Canis lupus familiaris: one gene and its partners. The protein of the gene in region 2 purifies or fractionates together with the protein of the main gene of each other region. This does not show direct contact. Links are inferred from orthologs where the notes say so. Each region holds a gene or a part of one and is shown on either strand. Other genes may lie near its edges.

Evidence for each region.
Region 1: the proteins of SNRNP70 (region 2) and MRPS26 purify together in Homo sapiens (affinity purification with mass spectrometry; 3 studies listed by BioGRID and IntAct, counting the BioPlex papers as one, with this or other methods). This does not show direct contact. The link is inferred for Canis lupus familiaris from reciprocal best matches to the Homo sapiens genes SNRNP70 and MRPS26.
Region 3: the proteins of SNRNP70 (region 2) and TFIP11 fractionate together in Homo sapiens (co-fractionation; 3 studies listed by BioGRID, with this or other methods). This does not show direct contact. The link is inferred for Canis lupus familiaris from reciprocal best matches to the Homo sapiens genes SNRNP70 and TFIP11.
Region 4: the proteins of SNRNP70 (region 2) and SRRM2 purify together in Homo sapiens (affinity purification with mass spectrometry; 3 studies listed by BioGRID and IntAct, counting the BioPlex papers as one, with this or other methods). This does not show direct contact. The link is inferred for Canis lupus familiaris from reciprocal best matches to the Homo sapiens genes SNRNP70 and SRRM2.
Region 5: the proteins of SNRNP70 (region 2) and SNRPA purify together in Homo sapiens (affinity purification with mass spectrometry; 4 studies listed by BioGRID and IntAct, counting the BioPlex papers as one, with this or other methods). This does not show direct contact. The link is inferred for Canis lupus familiaris from reciprocal best matches to the Homo sapiens genes SNRNP70 and SNRPA.
Region 6: the proteins of SNRNP70 (region 2) and NCBP1 purify together in Homo sapiens (affinity purification with mass spectrometry; 3 studies listed by BioGRID and IntAct, counting the BioPlex papers as one, with this or other methods). This does not show direct contact. The link is inferred for Canis lupus familiaris from reciprocal best matches to the Homo sapiens genes SNRNP70 and NCBP1.
Region 7: the proteins of SNRNP70 (region 2) and CDC5L purify together in Homo sapiens (affinity purification with mass spectrometry; 3 studies listed by BioGRID and IntAct, counting the BioPlex papers as one, with this or other methods). This does not show direct contact. The link is inferred for Canis lupus familiaris from reciprocal best matches to the Homo sapiens genes SNRNP70 and CDC5L.

What each region holds. Positions count from the first base shown.
Region 1 is NC_049245.1:18,666,931-18,671,172, forward strand, and holds MRPS26 (28S ribosomal protein S26, mitochondrial), read right to left. Parts: upstream 2,599-4,242; 5' UTR 2,508-2,598; coding exon 2,296-2,507; intron 2,202-2,295; coding exon 2,055-2,201; intron 1,962-2,054; coding exon 1,838-1,961; intron 1,133-1,837; coding exon 995-1,132; 3' UTR 603-994; downstream 1-602.
Region 2 is NC_049222.1:108,027,923-108,032,180, reverse strand, and holds the start of SNRNP70 (U1 small nuclear ribonucleoprotein 70 kDa), read left to right. Parts: upstream 1-1,330; 5' UTR 1,331-1,534; intron 1,535-1,690; exon of another isoform or gene 1,691-1,953; intron 1,954-2,224; 5' UTR 2,225-2,234; coding exon 2,235-2,381; intron 2,382-3,562; exon of another isoform or gene 3,563-3,605; intron 3,606-3,753; coding exon 3,754-3,816; intron 3,817-3,926; coding exon 3,927-3,981; intron 3,982-4,258. UniProt on the Homo sapiens protein: Component of the spliceosomal U1 snRNP, which is essential for recognition of the pre-mRNA 5' splice-site and the subsequent assembly of the spliceosome. SNRNP70 binds to the loop I region of U1-snRNA.
Region 3 is NC_049247.1:20,591,713-20,595,526, forward strand, and holds part of TFIP11 (tuftelin-interacting protein 11), read right to left. Parts: intron 2,845-3,814; coding exon 2,691-2,844; intron 2,389-2,690; coding exon 2,232-2,388; intron 496-2,231; coding exon 368-495; intron 1-367. UniProt on the Homo sapiens protein: Involved in pre-mRNA splicing, specifically in spliceosome disassembly during late-stage splicing events. Intron turnover seems to proceed through reactions in two lariat-intron associated complexes termed Intron Large (IL) and Intron Small (IS).
Region 4 is NC_049227.1:38,744,286-38,748,099, reverse strand, and holds part of SRRM2 (serine/arginine repetitive matrix protein 2), read right to left. Parts: coding exon 3,780-3,814; intron 2,802-3,779; coding exon 1-2,801. UniProt on the Homo sapiens protein: Required for pre-mRNA splicing as component of the spliceosome. As a component of the minor spliceosome, involved in the splicing of U12-type introns in pre-mRNAs.
Region 5 is NC_049222.1:113,812,185-113,816,152, forward strand, and holds the start of SNRPA (U1 small nuclear ribonucleoprotein A), read right to left. Parts: upstream 2,801-3,968; 5' UTR 2,646-2,800; intron 2,181-2,645; 5' UTR 2,159-2,180; coding exon 2,086-2,158; intron 1-2,085. UniProt on the Homo sapiens protein: Component of the spliceosomal U1 snRNP, which is essential for recognition of the pre-mRNA 5' splice-site and the subsequent assembly of the spliceosome. U1 snRNP is the first snRNP to interact with pre-mRNA.
Region 6 is NC_049232.1:55,290,714-55,294,527, forward strand, and holds part of NCBP1 (nuclear cap-binding protein subunit 1), read left to right. Parts: coding exon 1-40; intron 41-1,387; coding exon 1,388-1,498; intron 1,499-2,421; coding exon 2,422-2,486; intron 2,487-3,814. UniProt on the Homo sapiens protein: Component of the cap-binding complex (CBC), which binds cotranscriptionally to the 5'-cap of pre-mRNAs and is involved in various processes such as pre-mRNA splicing, translation regulation, nonsense-mediated mRNA decay, RNA-mediated gene silencing (RNAi) by microRNAs (miRNAs) and mRNA export.
Region 7 is NC_049233.1:12,997,424-13,001,237, reverse strand, and holds part of CDC5L (cell division cycle 5-like protein), read right to left. Parts: intron 2,388-3,814; coding exon 2,307-2,387; intron 2,016-2,306; coding exon 1,773-2,015; intron 1-1,772.

The DNA of each region.
Region 1 (4,242 bases), on a different chromosome or scaffold from region 2:
GGTCAATCAGGCCTCTTGCCAGTACCAATATGGTGTGTAGTCCAAGGAAGCTGGTAGTGCCAGGGCCATGTGGGTCATGGAAGCCTTGGGTAGAAAGGGCCACTGATAAAGAAATGGGGTTTCTTCCTTACTTCTGTGCCTTGGGCACACCAGACCTCAGCTGGCAAATCTTAGGATCAAGCAGAAGCGGGTCTTTGGCCAGTGGTTAGCTTGTGTCTCTGCTGCCCTTTTGTTACCTGGATACTCTGGCTAGAGTCCTAAAGCTCTAGATCAGGAGTTGGCAAACTTCTCTAAAAACCCATGTAACATGGGACACCTGGGTGGCTCAGTAGTTGAGCGTCTGCCTTCAGCCCAGGGTGTGATCCTGGAGTCCCAGTATCGAGTTCCACATTGGGCTCCCCGCATGAAGTCTGCTTCTCCCTCTCCCTGTGTCTCTGCCTCTCTCTTTCTGTTTCTCATGAATAAATAAATAAAATCTTAAAAAAAAAAAAAAAACAAAAACCCATGTAACAAATATTTTTTACACTTTGCAAGTCAAATAGTCTGTTACACAGCTCATTTCTGCCATTATAGTGTGAAAGTAGTCAATGAATGAATGTAGCTGTGTTCCAATAAAATTTATTTACAAAAACAGGCAGTAGGACAAACTGGGCCAAAGGACTGTAATTTGCCAACCTCTGTCCATGTCCTTGATGACACTTAGACCGAGTTGATCGAGGGGACTGTGGTCCATTCTGCGCCACTGTGAGCCACTGTGAGCTGGAAACCTCTAAGGTCTGCTGCTTTGCTGAGTCGTACATGGGTGTAGAACAGGACAGTATGTATGGGAACTGCCAACCAGGTGGTGGGTGCAGGGCAGAATGTGAGGAGGACACTGGAATAGGCTGAGCCTCCTTCTTCCTAAGCAACATCAACAGATCTATTCCAGATCAGGCCCAACCCTCCTACCCCATACACACATGGTCCCTGGGTGGGCACTGTCCTTACTGGACCCTTACGAGCCCTTATGCTGTGGTCTGACCACCAGCCCTTCCCTGGTGATGGCCCAATTGTAGCTCTTCGGCGGCGAGTCCAATGCTTCTTCCACCCGTGCCTCCAGGTTCTCTCGGGTAATGAAATTTTTTGCTTCCTCCTATTGGGAGACAGAAAGCTACTGAATGGAAGTCTCCAGCACAGGCCTGCTGACCTTTAGCCCACTGAGTCTCCAGTTCTCCCTCTGGATGGATGCTTGGAGCCCAGGTCCTCTGTGACCTTCCAGTGGAAGAGTATCAGGCAGCCTTATCATATTCCTCTTAGATAATTATCCACTGGACATCTCAGCCAGAACTCCAAGCACACCAGTTGTGACAATCTCGAGTCCCACTGGGTTGAATGTTGCCTCAATGTCCCTCGTTAATCTCTGTCAAACTTGTTCTCCGCACCCCCCCATTACTTTAATTCAGACCTCATCCACTCTTAATGGATCACTCCCAAATGGTCTCCCTGCTTTTTAGTCTCACACCTGCCACCCTAGCCCAAAATATTAACACTTCAATGACTATACCCGCAAAACAAAATACCAACTCCTTGTGGAACTGGGGGCCCTTCCGGGGTAAGAGGCGGGCTTACCGCCACCTAGCTACTCGGATACTTTACAATTCTAATGTCAACTCTCACCTCTGGGTGTCTGCGCCCGTCACTCTCTTTGCACTCCTCCCCCAAATCCTCACCTGCTAACTGAGCCTCAAGGCTGCTCGCTCCCTCAGTGCGCTGGCCAGTGTCCCACTGCGCCGCGCCCAGGACTGCCGCCCAGGAGTTGTTCCCGGCCCTTAGCTCCAGGCCCGGAGACGCGACCCACCTGCAGCTGCAGCACTTCCTGCTCCTTGAGCTGCGCCCAGGCCTGGGCCTCTCGGGCCCGCCGGGCTTCTTCCTCCGCCTGCCGCTGCTGCTGCTCCCGCGCCTCCTGCCGCAGCCTAGCTAACCTGGGGTGGGGGCGAGGGCAAGAGGCTGAGACTGCGCGCGGCTGGGTCTGCCCCGCGCCACCAGCGGCCTGCCCCGCCTCCCGGCCCACTCACCGCAGCTCGTGGAGCCGCTGGTTCTCCGCCTGGTTCCAGGCCATCAGGTCGCGGTGCTCGGTGGCATCCTGCAGCGCCTTGCGCTCTGCCAAGACCCCGGCCCGGGCCTCGTGCGCCTTCTTCCGCACCTCAGTCACGAACTCCAGCCTGGGCGGAGACAGGCCCGCGGTCGGCACCCTCTCCGCCCGCCCTCCGCCTCACAGCCCACGGCGCCGGCGGCCGCCCCCGCCGTCACACACACCTGAGGGCGCGCACCGTCTGGCGGTACTGCCGGTAACGCTCCGTCAGCACGAAGAACTCTACGGGATCCACCGTGGGCGGGGTCGCCACGCGCCCGACCTTGGACTTGGCCGGAAGGTCGTGGCGGGTCTTGCGGCCGCGCACGAGGAGCAGCAGCGGGGCCGGAGGCCCCCACCGGGGACCCGCGCCCCAAACTCTCAGCGCGCAAAGCATGGCCGCAGCCTTCCCGGTTCCGGCGCGCCGCAGGGCATCACGGGGCCCGGAGACGACCGCGGGGCACCACGGGACGCGTAGTCCGCGGGCCCCGCCCCCACCCCCGGGAGCCCGTAGGGCGGGGCGGCGCGCGCAGGCACACCTCCGCGGGGTCCTCGGGCCCGGGCCTTGGCCGCACCCTCCCTGCAGGGCCTGCCCCGCCCCGCCCCGCGTCCCTCCCGCCGGCGGGCGGGGCCCACGTCCCCCAACCCCCGCGCTGGAGAGTCTCAGAGCGGGTGGGCGAGGGACGGGACAGAGGAGAGAGCTCGAAGCAGCAGCTTCAGGGGCTTCGTATCTTTATTGGAAGGCGACAGGGCGCGGTGCTCTAGGTCCAGTCTGTGGGGGGAGGAGGTGATCATTTCAGAGGACGCCCTGGTCACCAGGCTGCTCGCCTGCGACCTTGCCCGCCCTCACCTCTCCCGACCTGGTCCGCCAGGCGGCCAGCTTGCTCTCTCGTCCTGAGGACCCCCTTGCCGGCTAGGGAACCCAGCGTGGGGGCTCTGGAGCTCCCTGGGCGTTGCCCACCCCAAACAAACCTGGTTTGTAAAAACCTGAGCTCACACCAACTTAAATTACGTAATGTTTTTGCCTAATACGAATTTACTTTTTCTCCTTCAGTTATGGCTTTCCCGTGCACTTTAAAATAAATGCAAAATAGTAATAATAATCCATCGCTGCACACTGGTCTTCTGCAATCACTGCATTTCTAGTGCGTCAGCCTTGGTTCTTGGGACCCCCTTACCTAATAGTGTAAGTTCACACCCCTCACCTCTTTTCACTGAGGGGCTGCTCACCTCCGGACATATGGGCTTCTCTTGACAAGAAAGAAGCCTGGAGGACCCTAGTACAGCCACTGTCTTATGGAGGTTTTCAGTAGAATTCTCTCCACTCCACTAGTTACTTCTTTTAATTTAACATAAGTATCTTATCATAAATTGTCTAGAATTCTGGGAAATAGGAAGGATAGCAGATAGCATCCTGCTGTGTGCCCAGGGGTCGTCTCAGTTTTAGCTCATTACTCCCCTCTTTTGTCCACATATCCCCCAAGTCCTTAGCCACAATGGCCCCTGCTGGCCAATGCCAGGCCTCTCCCTGTACTTACTAGCAGTGTTTGCACCAGGTGCTGCTTTCTACAGAGGGGCCACCAGCCTGTAGTTCTGCCCTCCCAGGGCACACTGTTCTCAGGGGGAGCCAGGGAATTGCTTGGGAGGTTATGGGCGGTCTGGTCTGGGCCGTTTGCTGCAGTGCCCAGGACCCTTCCTCAGAAACGAGCCAAGGCTGTGGCCTGCCCACTGCTCCTACCCTAGGCTCACAGTAGGTGAAGGAGCCCCAGCTAATACCTTCTTCCTCCCACTCAGGCGGGGGATACCTTTAACCCACCTTGGGGGCAGGTGGGGGTGGCTGGGCTGAGCTGGAAGCTCCCTTTCCTCCAGGGTACCAGCCATGGGACCAGTGCTGAGCCTTCGAGGGTCCAAAATGAACAGTCAGCAGCAGCAGCAGGAAGCCTAGCCTGGATAACAGCACTCAAGACGACAGGCGCTTCCATCCATAACTCTTTCCATTTCTTCCAGGGCCCCTTAGACACCTGGCACTTCAAGGATAGCTTGTGTTTCCTAATGCCCTTCCCTCTTCCCTCACTGCCCCTCATCCAAAGACTCTTGGGATCTGGACCCCAAAGGCTCCTGGCAACTAGCCT
Region 2 (4,258 bases):
AAAAAAGTATGTGCTTTCATATTACATGTTTCTTGAACCATGAAATTTAAATTTTGCAATAACTGCCGTGATTATTATTAAACAGGCCATTGAATCTATCCAAAAAACTTACAACACTTAACTCCTTACAGGTCTACAGGGCCCTAAGGAACACGTCTGCCAGCTCTCAGATCTCATGGCCAGCAACGTGGGATTCCTGCCACCCGTCCTAAACCAGGGCCTTTGCACTTGCTGTTAACTTCGCCCACATCTCCCTTCCACAGAGATCAGCTTTCGGTGGGATCCGATTTCAACTCTTCTTTATTCTCTAAATAACCCCACTTTCACTGCCCAAGCCCTTTATTATGTCCTGTTTTTCTCAAGTAGGCTCCACCCCCACCTGGGGCTTAAACTCGAGTTATGTGCTCAGTCAACCAGGTGCCCCTGCCCTATTCTCAACTTTGCTGGCCATTGTCCAAAATTTATTGTTAAAAATATTTTATTGATTTATTCATGAGAGACACACAGAGAGAGGCAGAGACACAGGCAGAGGGAGAAGCAGTCTCCTTGCTGGGAGCCCGATGTGGGACTAGATCCCTGAGCCGAAGGCAGACGCTCAACCGCTGAGCCGCCCAAGAGTCCCCAAAATTAATTATTAATTAATTAATTAATTAATTAATAGAGAGAGGCAGAGACACAGGAATAAGGAGAAGCAGGCTCCATGCCGGGAGCCTGACACGGGACTCGATTCCGGGACTCCAGGATCGCGCCCTGGGCCAAAGGCAGGAGCCAAACCGCCGAGCCACCCAGGGATCCCCCAAAATATATTCTTTTAAAATGCCTTTATCATCTCCTCCCATACAATGTAAGCTGCAAGAAGAAAAAGACTTTGCCTTCCTCAGGTACTAGATCTTCAGAGCTCAAACAGCGTCTAGCACACATTAGCCGCTGGATGAACAGTCACTGATTTAACAGGTTAGACGTCAACGTAATGACACCACTCACGTAGGGACTCTTTGCCAGGCGGCGGAGGGGTATTTTATCGTACACGACATCACACGCATGCGTACAAGACCCGGGAAGTGTGTTGGGGCGGAGCATCGAGGAGTCTCGCGCTTAGAGGCAGTTGGACTCAGAAGCGCAAGGTGGAAAGGGTTACTGCTTGGTGCGGTACCCGCGTGCGCACTGCGGCCTGCAGCGGCTGCAGTAAAGGAGTTTAAGGTGCCCGGGGGCGGGGAAATGACCTGGCGCGTGCGCAGTGCCCGCGTCGGCGCCAGGTCCCTGTGTATGGGTTGGGCTTAATCGCGCGGCGCGTGCGCAGCGCGGCTGGCGGAGGGATTTGGGGCTGGTCCCACCCCTTGCCCCTGTCGCGAGCCGAGGCCGCGCGGGCTCGTGAGCAGCGGTCTGGTCCGCGCGCTGGGCGGGCGACGGAGGTAGACGGACGCAGACGCCGCCAGAGTCGAAGTCAGAGCAGGAGCCTCTGCTGCTGAGGGGCCGCCGCAGCCGCCGCGAGCCCCCGGACCGTCGCCAGGCCGAGGAGGGCGCCGCGCGGCGGGTAAGTGTGACTGACTGGCCTTACCGGGTGCGGAGCCGCTACCCATAATCCCCTGCGGCGGGCCCCAGTTTTTTCCCCGCGGCCGGGCCCCCTTCCCGCGCCACCGCACCTCTCTGCACCCTTACCCAGAGTCCTCTGGGAATCTAGGCCCTCTTCCCGCAGCTCTCCCGCGGTCCCTTTCCCACAGGCCTTCGCGGCGTGTTGCCTTTTTCTCCTCGCCTCGGCTCTGGCCTGGACCCTTACCCACAATTCTTTTCGCCGGTGGGGGGCCTGGATCTATTACCCACAAGCCCCTGGCTCGAGGGGCTTGTTGCTTTTGAGCCTCTTCCCTTGATTGGAGACTTCCTGCTACTCCCGCCCCCGTAACCTGTTTTTCAGGGGTGCGAGACCCCCAGCCGCCATTGCTTTGGACCTCTCTCGTAAGAATCAAGTTCCCCGCAGGCTCCCAAGGAACCTCTGAGCACCCGCCCCCCCCCCCCGCCCCCGGTCTTCTTGCTCGGGACTTTGAGACTTAACTAATCAGGAACTTTTTCCGTCTTTGTTTTCATTATAATCCAACCAGGCTCTTACAGAATCTATTTGCATGCTGAGATCTTGCTCCTCTTTCTCTTTCTTGGGAGTCAAGGGATTATAGAGGCCTCATCTCTACCCAGTCACCCTAACATAAGGCTGCCCTGCTTCTGCTCTCAGACTTGGCAAGATGACCCAGTTCCTGCCGCCCAACCTTCTGGCCCTCTTTGCTCCCCGTGATCCTATCCCATACCTGCCACCCTTGGAGAAACTGCCACATGAAAAACACCACAATCAACCTTACTGTGGCATTGCACCCTACATCCGAGAATTTGAGGTGAGTTCACTGAGCAGACTTGTGGTTTGGGTTCTGGGGGCCGGGGAGCTGGATTTGGGAGTCCAATTTCTAGACTTTTTCTAGCTGTGCAATTTAGTTAGGGGACTTTTTTGATCCTCTGTTTTAAATGGGGTTGGTAATGCATTCTTCCTAGGGTTTTTGTGGAAACTGAGTAACTAGCTGTTGAGGATTCAGGCTCTGGAGTCAGGCAGTCCTTGGCACAAACCATTTATCAGCTGTGTGACTTTGGGCAAGTGTTGTATGCTCTTGGTGGATTTCTTCATCTTTGCAAGGGATTAATAGTATTTTCCTCATAACATTGGCAGGGAATTAACTGCGAAACTCGGCACAGGGCTTGGCACCAAGTAGTCCGCAATTGTCAATGTTACCATGTTTACCGGTTTTGTTATTAATGGGATGGTGTTTGTATGGGCTTGAAGATTTCAGCTCTGCAATTGCAGGGTAAACACAAATATGTGACTATGGCTTCTGAGCCTCAGTCTTTTCATCTGTAAAATGGGGAAAACGGCATCAGAGGTGCATCAGAGTGATCGCTTCCGCAACACATATACTAAAGAAAGAGGTGTATCAGAGCACACCTGAGAAATGCTGGCACACAGCCAGAAGTCAGAAGGGAAAGTTCTGGTGTCAAATAAGAAAGGGCAGCTGAAGGTGGAGGAAGCTGCAGAGCAGAAGTTAGTGGAGAGATAACAGAAGATTGATGGATTCTTTAGTAGGATTTGCCACCCTTGGTGAACCGGTCCTTAGGAAATGTTATTAGCTAATTAAACTAATTTAATGGCTACAGGCCCGTGGCACCCTTGATGATGCAGGTCATGGGGTAGTTACAGTTTAATGAGCGGTTGGTGAGCCCTTCGAGAACTGTCCTGGTCCTCAGAAGGTGTCCAGTTACTGCTTTTGAACTGTTCTGTCAGCTCCTTTGGCTTCAGCCCTGGTCCCAATCTCCACCTGTGATAAAGGATTAATCTTTTGCAGAGTGATGATGTTGATAAATACAAAGTTATTTTGACTCTTAGTATCCTTAAAAATTCTAGAATAAAGAATTAGATTTTTATTAAGTTTAGTAGGTATAAAACTATTCTATTTGGTTGCTATAGAAGTTTCTGAGTTCTTATTTCTGTACCTCTCTTGTCACAGACCAGCAACAGTTTGAGGACAGCATTGGTCCATGGATCGTGCTTTTGATCTTTGCTATTCTCCCAGGTCCATTGGTCTGGGAGGTGTCCCATGTTTGCTTGTGTGTGGTGGGTGGGGAGGGGGAGGTGAGTGGCTGAGGTGCTTAATGTTTTCTGGATGGGTGTCCCTTGCAACTCCCTGTCCCTCCCCACCTGTCACCTCTTCTTTTTCCTAGGACCCTCGAGATGCCCCTCCCCCGACTCGAGCAGAAACCCGGGAGGAACGCATGGAGAGGAAGGTATATAATTTGCACCTCTTGGCCCCACATCTTTTTTGCCACTTTCTAGCATGTTTCCTGACATCAGGGCACTTCCATCTGCATTCAGTTGTCCACTTTTCTTCTGACAGAGACGAGAAAAGATTGAACGGCGACAGCAGGAAGTGGAGACAGAGCTAAAAATGTGTAAGTTTCTCTTCCTCTCCCATCTCTTCCTCAGACCCTTTTGCTTTTCTTTCCCACTGATCCACCCCAGGTCTCTAATTTGGGAAGGTGGGATGGTTCACTTTTTTGAGTTTACAAAGTTGGCCAAACACCATGTTTGGTTGAGGCATTTAAGGAGTACAGCATGGGGTCTGGGTTGGTAAGAGGGAGCCTTAGGACCTAGGACCTGTGTCCTACAGGAGAGAACACTCAGAGGGGCCATTACAACCCAGTTTAGTGTCATGGGCTGAAGCAGTGA
Region 3 (3,814 bases), on a different chromosome or scaffold from region 2:
CAAGACTGCCCCATGCCTCCTGCCTTCTGCCACAAATCCCCCGATGGTTCCCGGCCCGAGGGGCCTTCCCTGGCCATTCTATTGATTTATGTACCTCACTACCACTGCCCCCTTACTTCCTTCGCTGGCACGTCTCAGCGCTCCCTGCGCTCACTACCACCCTGCAGCTGCTTGTCAACTGCCTGGCTTGGGGCCCGGGCTCCCAACCCTTCCTCACAGGGCAGCCCCGCTCCAGCATAGTGGCTGACACAGAGGTGTACAATGAACACCTGAAGGCTGGCAGACGGACAAACAGATACACGAACTAAGCAGCCACGGTCTGAAGTGGCTCAGGCCCCAGCCACCCTGACTCCTGATTCCCAGTTACCTCTTCTGCTTCTTCTTCTGAGTCGACCACGGGGAAGTCTTGTAGGGACTGAGTGGTGCGTTCTGAGCCATAAGCTCCCACGGCACCTTTCCCCTTTCTCTGCTTCGCTTCGATCGGGTTAATGATACCTGATAAAGTTCAGCAGAAGAGAAAACAACTTCAGGTCACAGCGATTCCTGCATTTGGACAAGCCACACAGTGGAACTGCCCTTCCTTAGTCCTGACACAGAGTGACAACCCAGGAAGGCAAGCTCTCCTCTGCCCCTGCAACACTTCAGCTTCCATGTGATGTGAAAGTTCTGAGCATTTATGGGCCACACGACAGGTTGCTGACATTAGGTTATTTATAGTCTAAGTACAGGTTTTCATTTACACTTGGATTCTTCTTGGAGTCCCACATTGGGCTCCCTGCATGGAGCCTGCTTCTCCCTCTGCCTGTGTGTCTCTGCCTCTCCTTCGCCCTGTGTCTCTCATGAATAAATAAAATCTTTAAAAAAACAAAAAACAAAAAAAGACAAGTGATTTACAGACTCTCACAGAATAAAGGGAGGTAAAGTGGCAATTCAGTATGAGACCTCGTATCACTTGGTAGCTCCTGTCTCCCAGACTTCACTTGCTTCGTAGTGAGTATAAACCTTGGAAATAACTTTTGTTCCAAGAGTTTAGAGACAAGACATTAGCATTTCAACAAAGACTGCCTACCCACCCCTACAGCTAGTACTTTGGCAATCTTGAATTAGGACGGTCCACTCGTGCTCATTCCAGGTCACCACCTCCAGACTCCACAGAGGTTCTTGGACTTTCCCTACAACTGATATGTTCAACACATACCCCAGGTGTAACCTGAGCAAATACTCAGGGAGTGGAATCTGGATTATTGACACTACTACTGTTTACATCCACTTGGTGACTGCTCACAGGAAACAGATCAAGGAGAGAGAAAGCAAGGTCCTGCAGGAAGAACCCAAGTGCATGGTCTGTGTAGCTTTGGTATCAAGGAAACAGGGATTTGTGAGTAGAGCTGTGTGGACAGTGCCTGGGACAGGAGGCTGGGCCGCTGAGCACCAACAGAGGCCCCAGTGCGGGATCTGCTCAGCCAGGTTTACAGTCTCTACTGCTGAACAGGCTACACACAGCATTTCATTGTTACTCCTGAAGGACAAATAACTGTGAGCAGGGAAGGTTAGACTCCTCTGCCTCCAGGGCCCAGGAAAACTGCCGTAAAGTGAAGCGTGCCAGGACAAAAGCCAACAGGGAATGCTGGAAGCTGCTTTCCAGAGGCCGTGAGCACCGTCCTCGGCAGCTAAAACCAACTGCTGCCAGGCAAATCAAAAACTTTATGTAAAATTATTTAAAATACTGGCAACAAGTTCATTTCTTTCTTTCCTTTTTTTTTTTTTTTTTTTTTTTTTAAGATATTATTTACTCATGAGAGACAGAGAAAGAGGCAGAGACAAAGGCAGAGGGAGAAGCAGGCTCCATGCAGGAAGCCGGACGTGGGACTCGATCCCGGGACTCCAGGATCACGCCCTGGGCCAAAGGCAGGCGCTAAACCACTGAGCCACCCAAGGGATCCCCAACAAGCTCATTTCTTAAGAAACACTGGACAGGCCAAAGAAAGCAGCCTGTTTGTTTGTAGCCTGTTTGAGCCTTTTCCTAAAAAAGCCTAAGCCTTTTTTTTCTGCAGAGGAAGTGTTTTGAGTGTGACAAAGCAGGTAGCTGAGAACAACCGTCTGGTGCTGGCAAACCAGGCTGCAGAGTTCACATCCTCCAAAAAAGAGAAAAAGCAAACCACTCCCCAGACCGTTCCTCCTTCCTCTGCCTTGCCAACCTCCTGCTCGGCTGCAGGGTGCTGGTGCCCTACCTTGTGCGTTCTTCCCCAGGCCCCTTCCAGGGACGTAGCCCATCTTCTGAAGAAGCTTCTGTCCAATGCCTTTTGTGTGTCTTTCCCAGCTGCCAAAATCCATGAAAGACTTGGTTCCTCCTGCAAAGCCTTTCTGGCTGGGTTTAAAATTGCCACCCTGAGCAGAAAAAAACCCAAAGCTTAGTTGATGGAAAAAGAAAAACCTAAGAAAGCAAACTTGGATGATGGGAAAAAGACCTGGCAGAGCATCATGAAAAGGGTCATACGAACCAAAAGCAGAGCTGCACGACGTGTCAGCAAAGAGGTTGCATGGCCCCCCCGAAGGGACCCACTACCACGAGGAGAAACCCACATAACCAGCTTCTACCAAGCGCCCCCCTCTTCCTGTAGGAGATGCCTGAACTGCCACGACCTCCCACAGACATTTCAAAGGTCACAAGCCTGAGCCAAAGATGCTACCGTCTTTAACTTCTTGGGTCCGAAGTCCTTAGGAAAGTCATCCTGTTTAACAGGCTTCTCTTCATCTTCCGAATCTTCCAGCTCAGCCTCCTCTGCTGCCCCTTTCTTGAGACCGGCGCTGATGAAGTTGACTGGTGCAGAGTAGTCGCGGGCCCTGTGGGCAAACACACAGCCCCCAGGGGGCCTTAAGGAAGCCTTCTGCAGCGATCCCTTGTGGACACTCTGCCGGCTTGAGATCCCCCGAGAGGGGAACTCCAGGGATCCATTTTACAAGAGTAACCTATTCACTTAGACCAAAAGCGCCTCAGATCTGACTTCCTGTGATCACGGTAACATTGTTACCTGTCAGTGCAAGGTTGATTAAAACAGCAATATATGATCTTACACACTGTATTGATTTTGTCTCAACAAAAGTGAAAGGACACCATGCAAACTATGATGTGATAACGCAACTCTTTTACATGTTTTAAAATTAACTTTAAAATCATTTGTTTTGGACCCCGTGTTTCAAGTACAGAAATCAAGCAAGAAAGAACTTCGGATAGATAAACATCATCAAACACAATAAAAGAAACTGTATGAATGCAAAGTATATTAACAATTTTATTGGTCAAACTCTTAGAAAAGTTTCACCTTCATTACCTTTATTTGCGTATGAAAACTAAAGTAAAATACCTAAGAAATTAACTCTGAGATAGAGAGTATCAATGTTGACAACTGTCACAAGAACAGTCCTTACAATGTCCTATTTCCTGGTTACCTTTATAAAATGACCAACTTGTCACTAACCATCCCCATGGCAGTAGCATTTTTTCCTAAACAATGCAATGTAACTTAGGCCGTAGAGACCCAGACTCAGGAGTCAGGCCCAGTTTCTTACAGCCTGGTTATGTGCTTTTGGCCTCAGTTTTTTAATCTGAAAAAAGGAATGATAATGATGCTACTTTTCTCACAAGGTGAAGGATACCAAGCACGTAGAGTGCAGAACAAGGTACTATCTTATGGTTATAGAGAATGTTAATTCCTGACCTCTGATCTATTTATCACCCACTTTTAGGTTTCCTTGCCAGATGAGGACTTGATCTGACCTCCATACTTTCTCCCCAGCCTCCTTTGTGAAAAAC
Region 4 (3,814 bases), on a different chromosome or scaffold from region 2:
ACACTCAAACACACAGTGGGTCTTTCTTCTATTTCAGGTGATGATTCAAAGTTACTTCCAGCCACTTCTTTAAGTTCCGGAGACAAATGGGAGAGAACCTGGTTTGAGGATTCTTCAGATTTCTCTACCACTTCCATTAATTCCTCATCTTGGTTTGGCTTAGCTAACGCACTTTGGTCTTTCGTATCTGGAGATGATCCAACACCACCTCTTTCCCTTGACGGGGTTTTAGGTGTTTCTCTGAGTACTGGTGAGGAATCAGGCTTATCCTGCACTGGAAGAGGACTCAATTTGTCTCTTGGTATGGGAGACGATGCAGTAAAATCCTCCTGAAGGAGTAAGACTGATTTCTCTTTCAATTCAGAAGGCTCCAATCTACTCTGCCCCAGAAAAGATTTAGAGTCCATTGCAGGATATGGGGAAGAGTCAGATTGGGACTTGCTTTGCTCAGGAGACAGTCCAGATTTTAGCCTAGGACTTGACAATTCCCTTCTTTCTGGTCTTGCTGGAGATTTGGGTGCCAGCTCAGTGATTGGAGAGGAGGACCTGGACCGGCCACCCATAAGAGGTGTCTGAGATTTGCTCTGCAGAGATGGAGACTCAGAATGACTCTGTTTCATTTCTGGGCTTGAAGTATCAGATCTAGGATCTGGTGAAGTTTGAGATTGTCCTTTCTGTTGCAAAGAGGAGGCTGCAAAATACAGCTCTCCTGGTGGTGTGCTAGACTTTATTCCTGGACAGAGAGAGAAGAATCCTGAACTTTGTGCTGGTGAGTCTTTAGACTTCTCTTGGGAACATGGTGATTTTGATTCACTAAGACTGTGCCCTGATGGAGTTTGGGGCTTTACTTTAGGGCATGGCGAAGTAGACCCTGAGTGACTTTGTCTTGGTGGTGTTCCAGGTTTCACTTTGGTATCTGGTGAGGAGGACCTAGAACGGCTCTGTCTTTGCAACAATCTAGATTCCATCTTGGAGCAAGGAGACTCTGATCTGCTTTGCCTTGGCGGTGTTTTAGATGTCACCCTACTAGGACTAGGAGAAGAAGAGCCAGAATGGCTTTGGACTGGTGATGTTATTGCCTTGACTTTGGGTTGTGGAGAGGATGACCCAGATCGGCTCCGTCTCGGAGGTGTGCTAGATTTTACTCTAGGAGGAGAGGACCCGGAGCAGCTATGTCTTGAAGGGGTTGCAGATTTCAGCTCAGGGTCAGGTGATGATTCTGAACGGCTCTGTATTTGTGGTGTTGCAGATTGTTCATTTGCCTGGGGACTTGTTACAGACCCTTGCCTTGGTGGTGTTCCAGACTTCACTTTAGGTTGAGGAGATGAACTGGAACAACTCTGTCTTGATGGTGTCTTAGATTTCTGATTAGAAGGAGGTGAAGAACCAGACCGACTTCGCCTCGGTGGTGTTCTGGACTTAGCTTTTGGTTGGGATGATCCAGAGCGACTGCGCCTTGGTGGTGTCCTAGACTTTTGTTTAGGACATGGAGATGATCCTGAAAGGCTTCGCCTCAAAGACAAGCGAGATTTTGCTTTGGACCGTGGTGAAGAAAGAGACCTACTCCGCCTTGAAGAAATGCGAGACTTTTTCATTTCTGGGCTTGAGTTGGACCTGCTCCTTCTCTGTGACGTCCTGGATTTGTTCTTCCGTTCTGATGATGAACCAGATCTGCCTCTTCTTTGTGGTGTTCTAGAGTGAGATCTTCCTCGTCTAACTACACTTCTACTACGAGATCTTCGTCTTGCAGGTGTCCTAGACCGAGATCGTCCTCGTCTTGCTGGTGTCCTAGACCGAGATCGTCCTCGTCTTGCAGGTGTTCTAGACCGAGATCTCCCTCTTCTGGCTGGGGTTCTAGAGCGTGACCGACCCCGTCTGGCTGGGGTTCTAGAGCGTGACCTGCCACTTCTCCTGGCTGGTGATCTGCTACGAGACCTCCGTCGTACTGGCGACCGGGTCCTAGATCTGCGCCTAGCAGGTGTTCTAGAGCGAGACCTGCCCCGCCGGGCTGGTGTTCTAGAGCGTGACCTACGTCTGGCAGGTGTCCTGGATCGTGACCTCCGCCTGGCAGGTGTTCTAGAGCGAGACCTGGCCCGACGGGCTGGTGTTCTAGAACGTGATCTGCCCCTAGTGGCTGGGGATCTAGAGTGTGACCTGCCTCGCCTTGCTGATCTAGACCTGCCTCTTCTCTGGGTATTTCTGCTTCTAGACCAGCCTGGTCTCTGAGGAGACCTAGAGCGGCCACGTCGCTGGGGACTTCTGGAACGTCCCCACCTCTGTGCAGACCGGGACCTACGCCACTGAGGGGACCGGGACCGAGAATGACCCCTTTTGGTAGGGGTTCGAGACCGAGATCGCCCCCTCTTGGTAGCAGTAGGGCTACGGGACCTCCCCACTCTTCGAGAAGGGGTATGAGAATGTGACTTATCCCGCTTTCCCCGGCCATGTGAGCGACTCTTGGATGCGGGAGAAGAAGAAATCTCTCGGCGGGACCCAGGAGCCGGTGCAGGTTTAGGACTTTCAGGGGAAGAGCTGGCATGTCGAGAAACTTTGGTAGGTTGAGGGGATGGTGGGCAGCTCTCTGAAGAAGACTGGGGAGGTTTCTCAGGAGACTTAGGTAGTGAACGGCCCCTGGTTGGGGAACCCTCAGATGGGGGGTTCACTGGCTCCTGACTTAAGGTGGCTGTTGCAAGGGGTTGTGGGGAGCCGCCATGTTGCTCAGCAAGGAGCGGAGTGGGAGCAGGTGGTTCTGGGCCTGTGCTGCTCCTTTCCGGAGAGGGGCTAGGTCGAATTCCAGATTTCTAAGAGTGGAAAAGAAAGTATGGATAGGAACATAAGCACCAGAACTTCCTATTACCTAAAAGACCCCAAACACCCTTTCCAATGAAATTTTCCTCTCACACACCCCATCACACCAACTGGTCCTTTTCTCACCACAGGCAGTCATTCATTAACGAAAGACCGTATAAAAAGACAGTGGGGAAAACATGAAAATATGGACAGGCTATCACTTTAAAAGTCTTATTATCTAGAAAAAACACAATGTAAACTAACATATGACATTTTCTAACAACCGTAACAAAGTGCCATGGCAACATAAAAAAAAGGCACTTTTATTAAATTGAGAAGCAAAGCAATTTCCCTTAAAGTGGGAGGCATCTAACTTCACCCTTGAAAAAGAATACTGAAATAAAAAACAAAGGCAAAGGTTCGAGGACATGACTTATGTAAATAAGACTACAGTTGGTATAGTTATAAGAGCTTTAAATATAAAAAAAAACATTAAGTTTTTGAAGTGATCCATCCTGTAGTTAGAAAACTTGATGACGTGAAAAAAAGAACAAAGAGCTAAGAATTTAGCAAAAAACTATTTATGGAATTTATGAAGTAAGAAAACATTGTGAATAAGGCTCAATCAGAATACCCATAAAACGACACATACTTAAAGCACAGGTATAGTAGCGTGTTCAAATTGCAGGCAGCAACCCAGTGGGTTGGAAACGAGCATTTAAGGAAATAAAAAAGCCTAGATATCACAGATAGTAAAGCTAAACATAATTTAGAAAAAATAAACTTTTACCCAGACTGTATATAAACACATTAAAGGACAATGACATAAAACCTATCAATAGCCAGCAGTCTGAAAACCAGAATTCTGAAGAATTTGTAAATACAAAAGAGAACTTGATCAAAAAGAACCAAATTCACTTCTTTCCTTCTCTTTAAACATCCATCCTAACCCTGCAACCCAATAAACATCCATTAACTCAGAAACATACCTCCTTCTCTTTATCTTTTTCATGAGGACTGCTAG
Region 5 (3,968 bases), about 5.8 Mb from region 2:
TGAGGAGCCTGCTTCTCCCTCTGCCTATGTCTCTGCTCCTCTCTCTCTCATGAATAAATAAAATCTTGAAAGAAAAGAAAGAAAGAAGGAGAGGAGAGGAGAGGAGAGGAGAGGAGAGGAGAGGAGAGGAGAGGAGAGGAGAGGAGAGGAGAGGAGAGGAGAGGAGAAAAGAAGTACACATGCACATGAGCAGGATGAGGGAAACAGGGAGAAGCAGGCTCTCCACTGAGCAGGGAGTCTTGATAAGGGCTGGATCCCAGGACATACCGAAAGGTATGTTCGACCACCTGAACCAGTCAGGCACCCTCCTGATTCCATTTCTGGTATTTCTCTCCCTCCTCCACCCACATGATCTGTTTGGCCCTCGACATTCCCCTGGGCCTCTCTCCCTCCTCCCCTCTTGCCCACTCAAGTTCACCCTCCTGATGTTGTCCTCACACCAGAGGGTCCCTTACCTGGCTCCTTGATGGCCTCATGACAAAGTCTAATGGCCTACCTGCCCACAGGATCCCATGAACCATCAGTGCACTGCTCACTAGAAGGTGCTGCCTGTGTCACAAGCCTCAGTCACACAAAACTACTTGTATTTTCCAGAATGCCCCAGGCTCTCTTTTGCCCCTAGGCACCTGGACACATAGATCTGGGTTCGGAACACTCTTCTTCTGCACAATATATATACTCCTTCCTCTATCTGGAAACGCTTTCTGAAATGTCTCCTTTTCCTTTTTTTTTTTTTTTGTAAAGATTTTTTTATTCATCCATGAGAGACAAAGAGAGGCAGACATAAAAAAAAAGAGAGAGAGAGAGAGAGAGAGAGAGAGGCGCAGACATAGGCAGAGGGAGAAGCAGGCTCCCTGTGGGAAGCCTGATATGGAACTCGATCCCAGGACCCCAGGAACACAACCTGAGCCACCCAGGTGCCCCTAAATGTCTCCTTTTCTATGAAAGAGTCCAAACTCCTCTGTCTAGGTGCCAAATCCCTCCTGACCACTCTGCTTGTGCTTTCCCCATCATGGCCCTGGCTACTCTGGGCAATCACTGGAAGGTCAGTCTCCCCCACTGGACTGTGGCTCCATGAAGGCAGGACCAGGACTGTCCGTCACCAGTGTTTCTCCAGCACCACATGGTACTGGCTGCACATGATACTCTAAGAGCACATGGGGATTTACATAGCTTGGTCCATTTTCCTCAACAGTTAACTTTATTGGTAACCTCAAAATTAATCCCAGCAAACTCCTTCCTTTGGTTCTCCTGAGAATTTTCTTAAGGTGACAAAAAAAGACAAATTTTATCCAAACTTAACTAACAGACAGATATTCAGCTAATTTAATCCACAAAGCATTCACGCACAGAAATACCGGGGATTTGTTCAACTTTCAAATATAAAAAATGAAATTCAATGAGATGATAAATGAAACGAAAAAATATGTCCAATGAACGTTAAGAATCGAGTTCTTAAGCAGTATTTCCACGCTGGTGGCCTCAACCACTTTACCTTGCTGTGTGACTTTTGGGCAACTCACATCACCCCCGCCTGAGAAATAGGGAGTAATAGCTCCTTACTGAAGAATTGTCGAGAATTCAATGTAATAAAGTCGTATGTATCAGTGCCTAAGGACAGTGTTAGCCATCGTATTATCATTTCTTTTTTTTTGAAATGAAACACCTCCACTGTGCGCTGATCATTAAGAACACAAGGCCGTCCAGGCGCTTACCGTCGTGGAGCTCACAGACTTGTGCAGACAGCCCCACAACAGCCCAAAAACAATTGAGGGTTTGAGCGGGAGATATCCAGGGCCTATGGGAAGTCAGGGGCAAGGCACCTGGGGGGAAAGAGGCCGGCGAAGGATTCTTGGAGGAGTCCTGTGAGTTGAAACCCTGAAGGATGAACAAAAGCGACCAGGCTAATGGCCAGAGTAGAAGACGGGCTGGAAGAGCGTTAAAGACACAGGAAGCAGCGTGTGCAAAGGCTGAATTCAGGATTAACTCGACAGTTTGGAGAAAAGGAAGAGAAGTTAATTCGAGGGCTGGAAGAGGGGGCCGGCTCGTGCGAGGCAACCTGGAGTCTGGACTATCCCAACTCACCATCCTTCTTGATCTTCTCGTTGAGGTTGTTGATATAAATAGTGTGGTTGGGGCGGGTCTCGGGAACTGCCATGGAGAGAGGTGCCGAGGTAATGCTGAAAGAAGGGGGAAAAGGTTAACTTCAGCCCCGGGTTTCTCCAAATCCTCTGCCCTAAAGCAGGCTTAACGAGCTGCTCGGGGATGGGGATCTTCCTTCCAGGAGGAAGTCCGGAGAGCAGGGAAGGAAGTACAGCTAGGAAACAAAGCGAAAGCAGGACACCGCTGCTGCTCCCCGCGTGGTTACCAGAAGGAAATCTCGAGAGGCTTACTACGAGTCCCAGGATGCTCTACGGGGTCCAGTAGGCGGAGCGTCCTAAGCGGAGACTCTCATTGGTTCACGAGCTCAAAGGGCGGCCCAGGAGAAAAAACCCGGATACATGAGCCAGTTCAGGAGACGGCTCTGGCGCCCTAACTTCGCGCAGCGGCAAGTGAATTTCCCCACACGAGGCACGAGAAAGCCCAGGCGGCAAGCGCTCCGCCCGCCCGGCGTCCACGGCCGCGTGCGCCCGAGGACTACTCACCAACAGAGTCGCAGTTCCCGCAAGCGTCGCCTCCTGCGCTTCTGAGAGCCGACTACAAAAGCTTCCTCTCTTGGTCCCGCCTTTAGCTTTCTGCAGGCCAATCCCGCGCGGAAACTCAGTAGCCTGACCAATCAGAGCCAGCCTCGCCCCTGGGTCCAAAGGTTGCCAATCAAAACGACATTTGGGTTCCCGCCTCGGTAGGAAAGCCCCGCCCGACGCTGCACCGAGGGTCTACGGACCAATCAGCGAAGGCCGCGCCCCCTCACGCGCTTCCTGCCAATGGGGAAGCCGCTCGCGCTTCAGTCTCTTCCGGGGGCAGTCCTTTGAAAGCCTCTCCTCTCCCGCCCCGCCTTCTCTCGTCACGTGACCCTCCAAGGGCACGAGCCGCGGGCCCCGCCACGTGATACGGGAAAAATGTGTGCTGCGGCCGCCATTTTGGTGGAAGGGGAGGCGGGCTTTATCTTCCGGCTCGCCTGCGGCTCCCAGCGGTGTCGCGGCTGCCAGCGCCCTCCCGTCTCTGTGCCTTCCCCAACCCAGAGGACTTTTCCTTTTGCGCTGATTCCAGCACCTTCTCCACGACTAAGTCATTCTCCTTGCCGGGTGTTTTTTGATCTCTTGAGCGCTGATTCAAAGGTCAGCTCCAAGGTTCCGAACTGGGGCCCGGGATGTGAGGGGTTTCAGAGCCTAAATTCCCTAGTCTGTAGCCCCGGCCCCCGAATCCCACCCGAGCGGGGCCTTCCTTTTCCCAAAACTGACTCGCGAGTTTCCAAACCTCGTTCCGGATAATACAGTAACTCTTAACTACCCTCCCCCCCCACCTTGAGCCTTGCAGCCCAACCCCACACCAAGATCTAGTTGCGGATAAAGGACCCGCCCTGTTAACTTCTTAGATCCCCTGATGATTTGAGTCCAAATGTCAGTCCTGGTTCTTTTGAGTCCCACCGCTCAGCAGTCAAGTTCTGGAACTTCGCTCTAAAACCCTCAGAACGTCCATCCCAGCGACAAACCTATTTTAGAGGCTCCAACCGTCTCCCATTCTTGACCTCCCAGCACTTGCATGCTGTAGACCCCCAAAATGATTTCTCCGTGCCCTCCTCCTGAAGAGCCCCCAGCCGCTCCTCAGACCCCTGTTCCCGAAGCCCCCATCACTCCACTTCCTCCTCCACCCCCGGCAAGTCTCCAGGCCCCTATCCCACCCCCTCCTCTGCCACCTCCACCCCCTGTCAGGGGGCTGGCTCCCCCTCATGTCTTTGGCCTGGAGAAGAGCCAGCTCCTGAAGGAAGCCTTAGAGAAAGCTGGCCCAGTCCCCAGCAGCAGAGATGA
Region 6 (3,814 bases), on a different chromosome or scaffold from region 2:
AGGGAAGAACAAGATCCCCTTGAACTACCACATAGTTGAGGTATGTGTTCCACATGGAGCATGTTTCTAAGTTTCAGAATCTTTCTATGGATTTGAAAGTTAATAACTCTTGGCTTTTTTTTTTCCCCTTGCAACTTGTCAGGTACTGAAAATTAACACAGGAGCAAGAAAATTGCTGTCAATTTTGTGCTCTCTTAGCCATGTTAGTAAAAACAAAAGTGGAGGTTGAGGCCAGTAGCCAAATGGAATTTTGCAGTGCCTCTAAATTATTTATATAGCATGTCTTCATTCATGGATAGTATAAGTTACCTCCAGTCTTGTGAGTACACTGTCCACTTATCAGATAGATAATTGGCTTGAATACTTTAAAATACCATATTACATAGGCAGATAACTGTGTTTATCTGGCCTCTTATTACCAGCATACCCCTGACTAGTATATTATTATTCCCTGTATCACACGGTAGGGAGAGATAGGAGTCTTTATTTATTCCTAGAAATTAGAAGAGCCCATTGTTTTTGAAAGTAGGAAGAATCAATAATACTTTCGACCCCATATCAAGTCATGCGGAGGGGTGAACACCTTGTAGAGGTTTAAGTCTCAAAATAGCATTCACTTATTATTACAGATTCACTTACTGTTCATACATGTATTTGTGTGCTTCCCCAAAAGTACTGCATTTGTCCTATCTTATAAAACTTTAAGAGTGTATTTAGGCTATGAACTTGACTCATTGACACGTCAGTTGAAATGCAAAATATAGGTCATAATTTCGAATCTGGAAAGTGTAAAATTTTATCAGAAGGGAATACAGAGGGATGGGAGATGGGAATGAGAAGAAAGAATGCAGACCAGGTTTTAGAATTCTAGGTAGGTGGTTCATGAATTATATAGGGAGGGCAGAAACAAGTTTCTGAACAACAGCGGTGGCAAAGTAATCTTTTTCTACCAAAGAGATTGCCAGGCACTGGTTTTTAAGTAGCAGCCTGGAATGACTTGACTATCTTCTGTTCCTGTCTTCAGAATCTAATGAGGGTTTTTACTGCTTCTAGGAGTGAAACTGATGGATCAGTGAGTACCTGCCTGAATCAACTCTGATACTTCCAGAGTAGGAATTTAATTGCACTATTCTCTGGGAGTATCAAATAAGCATTAATTTCTGCATATTCTTATTTGATTGAGTTATAGAACGATGAAATTTTCATTACAGTATTCAATTGCAAATCTCCATGTCTTAAAGAGTATAGTTTCTAAAGATTATAAAGTAATTATTTTTTCATTATGAATGCCATGGAGTTAAAGAGTTTACGTTTAAAATGTTGATCTTTCTGATGGAAGTACAAAGATACTTGTTGAACAGCATTCTGACTCATGGTTCTTTTATAGGTGATTTTTGCAGAGCTGTTTCAGCTTCCAGCACCCCCGCACATTGATGTGATGTACACAACACTGCTTATCGAGCTGTGCAAACTCCAGCCTGGCTCTCTACCCCAAGTTGTATCCTTTCCTTTGTTTTTAAACTTACTCTCTTTGACCTGGCTTTAAAAGATTATTAAATGTTTCTTACTGTGGGGGCCATTTCTTCAAAAGTTAAACATAAGTATACCACACAGTCCAGCCACTCCACTCCTAGGTATTTACCTAACAGAAATGAAAACACATATCCCTACAAAGACTTGGACATTAAGTTCATAGAATCTTTATTTGTGGGACACCTGGGTGGCTCAGTCAGTTAAGCGTCTGCCTTTGGCTCAGGTCATGATCCCGGAGTCCAGCGATCAAGCCCCCCGTAAGGCTCCCTGCTCTGCTTCTCTCTCTCCCTCTTCCACTCCCCCCTGTTCCTACTCTCTGTCTCTCTCTCACTCTCTCTCAAGATCTTTTAAAAAAGAAAAAACTTTATTTGTAATACCCCAGAATGAGGCAATCCAAATATCCATCAGTACATGAATGAATATACAAATTTGCCATATCTATACAATGGAAAACTACTCAGCAATAAAAAGGAACAAATTTTTGGTGCAGGCAACAACTTGAATGAATTGCAAATTAAGTAGGATGAATAAAAGTTGTCAAACAAGAATTTATACTACATGATTCCATTTACACAAAATTATAGAAAATGCAAAGTAATCCAGTGACACCAGACCAATATTTGCTTGTTGGGGGAGGAGGAAAGAGGATTACAGAAGAGCATGGGGAAAGTTTGGAGGCGATATAAATATTCACTGTTTAGTTCAGGGTTGTATACAAGTCAGATTTATTGTATATGACTGATAACTGCAGCTGTTTTTAAAAAAATCAATTACATGAAAAGATGCTCAGCATTGTTAGTCATCATGACTTCTAAGAAATGTTATGTTCTGTCACAACTTATTTTGAGGGAGGATTCAGAGTAGTTTTCCTTATCCTCAAATTCACAGCTTGCACAGGCAACTGAAATGTTATATATGCGTTTGGACACGATGAACACTACATGTGTAGACAGGTATAGTAATTGTCTTATTTCTATACTGATTGCAAGAAGCATCTATTCCCTGTACTGTATAAAAGAATTTAATCAGCAAAATATTTGCCTTTTTAGAGAATTTCTAAGTTGATTTTTCTTTCTTGTCTCCCCAAAATAACCCTTTGTATAATAATAAAATTTATAATGTAACATCATGCTTTCTACTAACTTCCAATAGGAAATGATGGCCATACTGAGGTTTTCTTTAATTTCATTCATTATTAAATTTTTTTTTTTTGTGCTTTGGTATAATTATACTTTTTCCTTTGTAATTCGGTATGTAAGATTTTAAAATAAACTTTGTACTCACCCCTGTGCACAAGCAGAACCTAATATTGTGTATTTATTATGTATAAATATATATGTATTTTTGTTTGTTTATAGATAGTATCTTTTTCTTAAATAATTAGCTTCTACATAACTACAGCTTGAAGACTCAGTTTATACAAAAGACCATTTTGGATTTTTAGAGGTGTGGTAATTGCATGTCCACTGTCTTTTGACGGAGACCCGTCTACCACTTTTATCAGCTGGTATCTTTCTTACCTCTGTTAGTGTCCACAGTCAGATCGACCCAGGTACTGAACACTTCTCCAGTTTCCATGATCTTTCGTGTCCATTGTTCAGATTGCATATCTGAAAATTATCATTAAGCACTGTATCAGACCTGAGTCAGTGATTGAAATTATAGATCTATGAGGGACATGCTCTAAGATAGCATCTTCTGATTTTTCTCCCAATCTCATAAAACTAGGAGTTGCACAACCCAATTATGTTATTGAAATTCAGCAAATATATATTGGGCTCTCGCAGATTTTACAACATTACACAGTATGCTCAGGTGATTTCTATCTAGTTAGATCAGATGTATTTTTAGGGGAAAAGATGTATATTTTGTGGTGAAAAGGGCATAGTGTGGTGATGAGACACTACACTTTGCCTCTGCCATTTATACAATTATCTGCAGTTCCTTTAATCTTTTTTTTTTTTTTTTGCCTGTTTTATTGTCCACGAAATGGGGAAAATAGTACATTACTTGAAAGTTATTGTGAGAATTCGGCTACAGACACACACACGTGTGTGTGTATATAGTGCGTGGCACAAAAAAGGCACTCTATCATTTCTGTTATTCACTTAAAAAGAATAATACTATTAGAAGGAGCGAGTAGGAGACCATTATTTTTAGGAGAAGATGAATTACAGGATTTGCAGCAAGAGGGTAAATGGCAGCAGAAGATACAGCTTTGGTAAGGGGATGGCCTTTTTATTTAGCTCTATAAAGTAGGGTTTTTTTGTCTGAAGCTTTA
Region 7 (3,814 bases), on a different chromosome or scaffold from region 2:
CAGAAAATAAAACAGACCAAAGTATATTAAAATCAAATACAAAAGACTTAATGGAAAATCGTGTCTCTAGAAGATAAAGAATACACTTTAAAACAGTATCTCTGAGGGGAAATAATGAAAACAAATCAATTGTAACATCTTTAATGAAAATCTGACACTTCATAAGAGAAATGGTATTTCATTCCCAAACTGTACATAATAAAAATTTATAAAATCAGCTCCTATAATTATAAGAAGAGAGTATGACTAAGTTATCTTTAAACTCTCCATAAAGAATCTAAGTAAATAGCTGTTTCAAATCCTTTTTGGAACGGAGAGGAATATAAATACATACATAAAATATAAAAGAATATTTAAACTAGCCTGTAATGGTTTCAAATAATTCCAAAGCACTACGTATTTTTCAAAAACTTTATTAGAATCTATCCCCTACAGAATCTTCTATTAAGCTACAACAGATCATAATGTGATCCTTATTTTGGTTTCCATAAATACAGTAAACCCCTTGATCCCATCTTCCCCTATTTTCCCTCCGAAAAAAGAACACTGTTCAAGTACAGAATTCAGAGTGTAATTCTTAACCCCAGTCCAATGATTAAATGTGCTTGCCACAAGAGGCCCTCAACAGATGTCAGTTTCCCGTCACACTTACTAAAATGAATAACTCAGATCCTCAGAAATCACAGGCAAACTGTTTAAATATAAATCTAAATAAATCCTCTTTCCTTTCTCTATTTTCTCAAAATCTTTTAATAAACATATATTACTTCTCAACAAGGAAAATGGAAAGAATAAGACAGAAGAAAAGCACAAGAAAAGACAGAAAAAGGTATCTTATGGATTTCCTCCCAAGTATGCAATAGCAGATTCCAACAACGGGTCTGTCTGTTCCTCAAGGCTAAGCACTACAGAAAAAAAGACTAATGGCTAATGACCACTCTGCTTCCAACCATGGCACCCACTGTATTTCCTCATACCATGGAAGAAATGATTTCTATTCACAATCATAGCTGTTTGCTCTGTCAAAGCAGAAATAATCAAATGCATATGGAGAAGAGGCAGGAGAGACTTTCTACAGGAAAACGTTTCTCTATTTCCTTATCCAAAAGAATAGTGGGAAATCAAGTAAAAGGAATAAATTCAGTAAATGGTATTTCCTTTCTTTGACTAGGTGAAAGAAACATTTTGAATATGTGCTTGCTTTCTCATATTAATCTAAATGAGGTTTAAGTTTTGTTTTTTTTTTAAGATTTTATTTATTTATTGAGACACAGAGAGAGAGAGAGAGAGAAAGCAAGAGAGAGAGAGGCAGAGACACAGGCAGAGGGAGAAGCAGGCTCCACGCAGGGAGCCCGACGTAGGACTCAATCCCGGGTCTCCAGGATCACACCCTGGGCTGCAGGCACCGTTAAACTGCTGCGCCACGGGACTGCCCCAGGTTGAAGTATTAAAGGTATTCAATTCTACTCAGAAATAGCAGTTGAACACAGGAAGTGGCAATTGTAGCAACTGTCCATCAGGCATATACCCATAAAACAAAAACACCTTGCCACCTAAGCTAGTGTTCACCTGAAGAAGCTCTATCAAGAAAGGGGAAAGGGGCATGGTCAAGTATGTCGTCCTCCTAACACGTCATATGACCAGCTATCTCCTAATTACAAATTCATTTGTTTATAAATATCAGCCTCAGAAAATAAGCTACTGTTCATCTATGATACACAGTACTGAACCAATACTTTAATCAAGACCAAAATATTTCTGTTTAATCATACCTTTTTCAGCTCTTCTTTGGAGAATTTTTCATAAGGGTTGTGTTCCAGATAGGCAATGTGTTCTGAATTATTAGTACCAAATCCTACAGTTTTCCCTTTTTTATTTCCAGATGGTTCATAAGGATGATGTAGAAGGTCATAATGAAGCATTGTAATCATTTCTTTTTTGATTAGTTCTTCACTTTTTTGTAAATCTGTTAGAGGTGGTTCTACATTTAGGGGTCTTAGAATCGTTTCATTTACCTAAAATTTTAAAACAAGTACCATTAACAAACAGATCACTGCAATACTGATGCTATTACTTACTTGCCCTAGCATGAATTAAATAGCAGTTTTACATTTTAAAAAAAAATTTTTTTCCTTCTAAAGTCTTATTTGTACCAGTGAAACATTTTAAAGATTAGATCTGCAACTGCTTTACTACATTCCAGAAAGTAGATAAAATTTTGTTTTACAGACTTTATGAATGACATAAAAACAGCAATCACAAAGAAGAAACTTAAAACTTCCAAAGCCAGAAGTTCTAACACTTACTTCTGATGGTCTTGGCAGATCTTTCTGGACAGCTTTGTGCATTCGTTTCATTTCCTTTACACGTTCTGCCTCTCGTATAGCCTTAAAAAATTATTTTTATATCCATTATTACAGATATGCAATATTTGCCGCATTTCAATAAAGTTGAAAACTTTAGTCTATAACAACATGCATGCTCAAGAGCTAAAGCTGTAGAAATCTGTGTAAGTTTGTAGAAAGACAATAAAGCAACAGAAATCAGTCTATTCACTCTCTCATTACAATACAAACTAAGAATTGCCAACAGCTACTAAAGCATTCTCCAAGTTTACATGGCTTCATCCATCAGATAATCATTTTTTTCTGTTTAAACTGGAATCCTAATAAAAATCCTCGAAAAGAACACAAGCAGTAATGTCCCTGACATCAGCTGTAGCAACATTTTTCTAGGTAAGTCTGAGGCAAGGGAAATAAAAACAAAAATAAACTATGGGAATTAACATCAAAGTTAAAAGCTTTTGCACACTGAAGGAAATGATCAACAAAACTAAAAGGCAACCTACTGTATGGGAAAAGATATCTGCAAGTGACATATCTGATAAAATATATAAAGAACTCAACACCAAAAAACAAATGATCCAATTAAAAAATGGAAAGAAAGAAAAATGGGCAGAAGATGTTAACAGACAAAATTCTCCATGATGACATTCAGATGGCTAACGGACACATAAAAAGAAGCACAACATCGCTCATCATCAGGGCAATGCAAATCAAAACTACAATGAGATAAGGGCACCTGGATGGCTCAGTTGGTAGGGCATCTGACTCTTGATCTCAAGGCTGGTGGCTCAAGCTCCACATTAGGAGTGGAGCTTAGTCAAAAAAAAAAATTGTTTTAAGACCTATAATGAGATATCACCTCACACCTGTCAGAATGATTAAACTCAAAAACACAAGAAACCAGTGTTGGTGAAGGTGTGGAGAAAAAGGAGCCCTTCTGAACTGTTAGTAAGAATGCAAACTGGTACAGCCACTGTGGAAAACAGTATGAATAGAACTGCCCTACAATCCAGCAATCACACTACTAGACATTTACACAAAAAAAATACAAATATAACTCAAAGGACACATGCACGCTTATGTTTAGAGCAGCATTATTTAAAATAGCCAAATTATGAAAGCAGCCCAAGTGTCCATGGATAGATGAATGAATAAAGATGTGGCATATGTATGTTTCTGTGTATATATGTATGTATGTGTGCATATGGATAAAGAAGATGCAATACACACACACACACACACACACACACTCTACAGTGGAATATTATTCAGTCTTTAGCCATAAAAAGGAATGAAATCTTGCCATTTGCAACAGACATGGATGGAGCTAGTGCGTAACGCTAAGTAAAATAAGTCACAGAAAGACAAATGCCATATGATTTCACTCATATGTAGAATTTAAGAAAAACAAAACAAACCAGCAAGGAAAAAAGAAAAAAAGGAAAGGGAGAGAGAAAAGAGAGAAACCA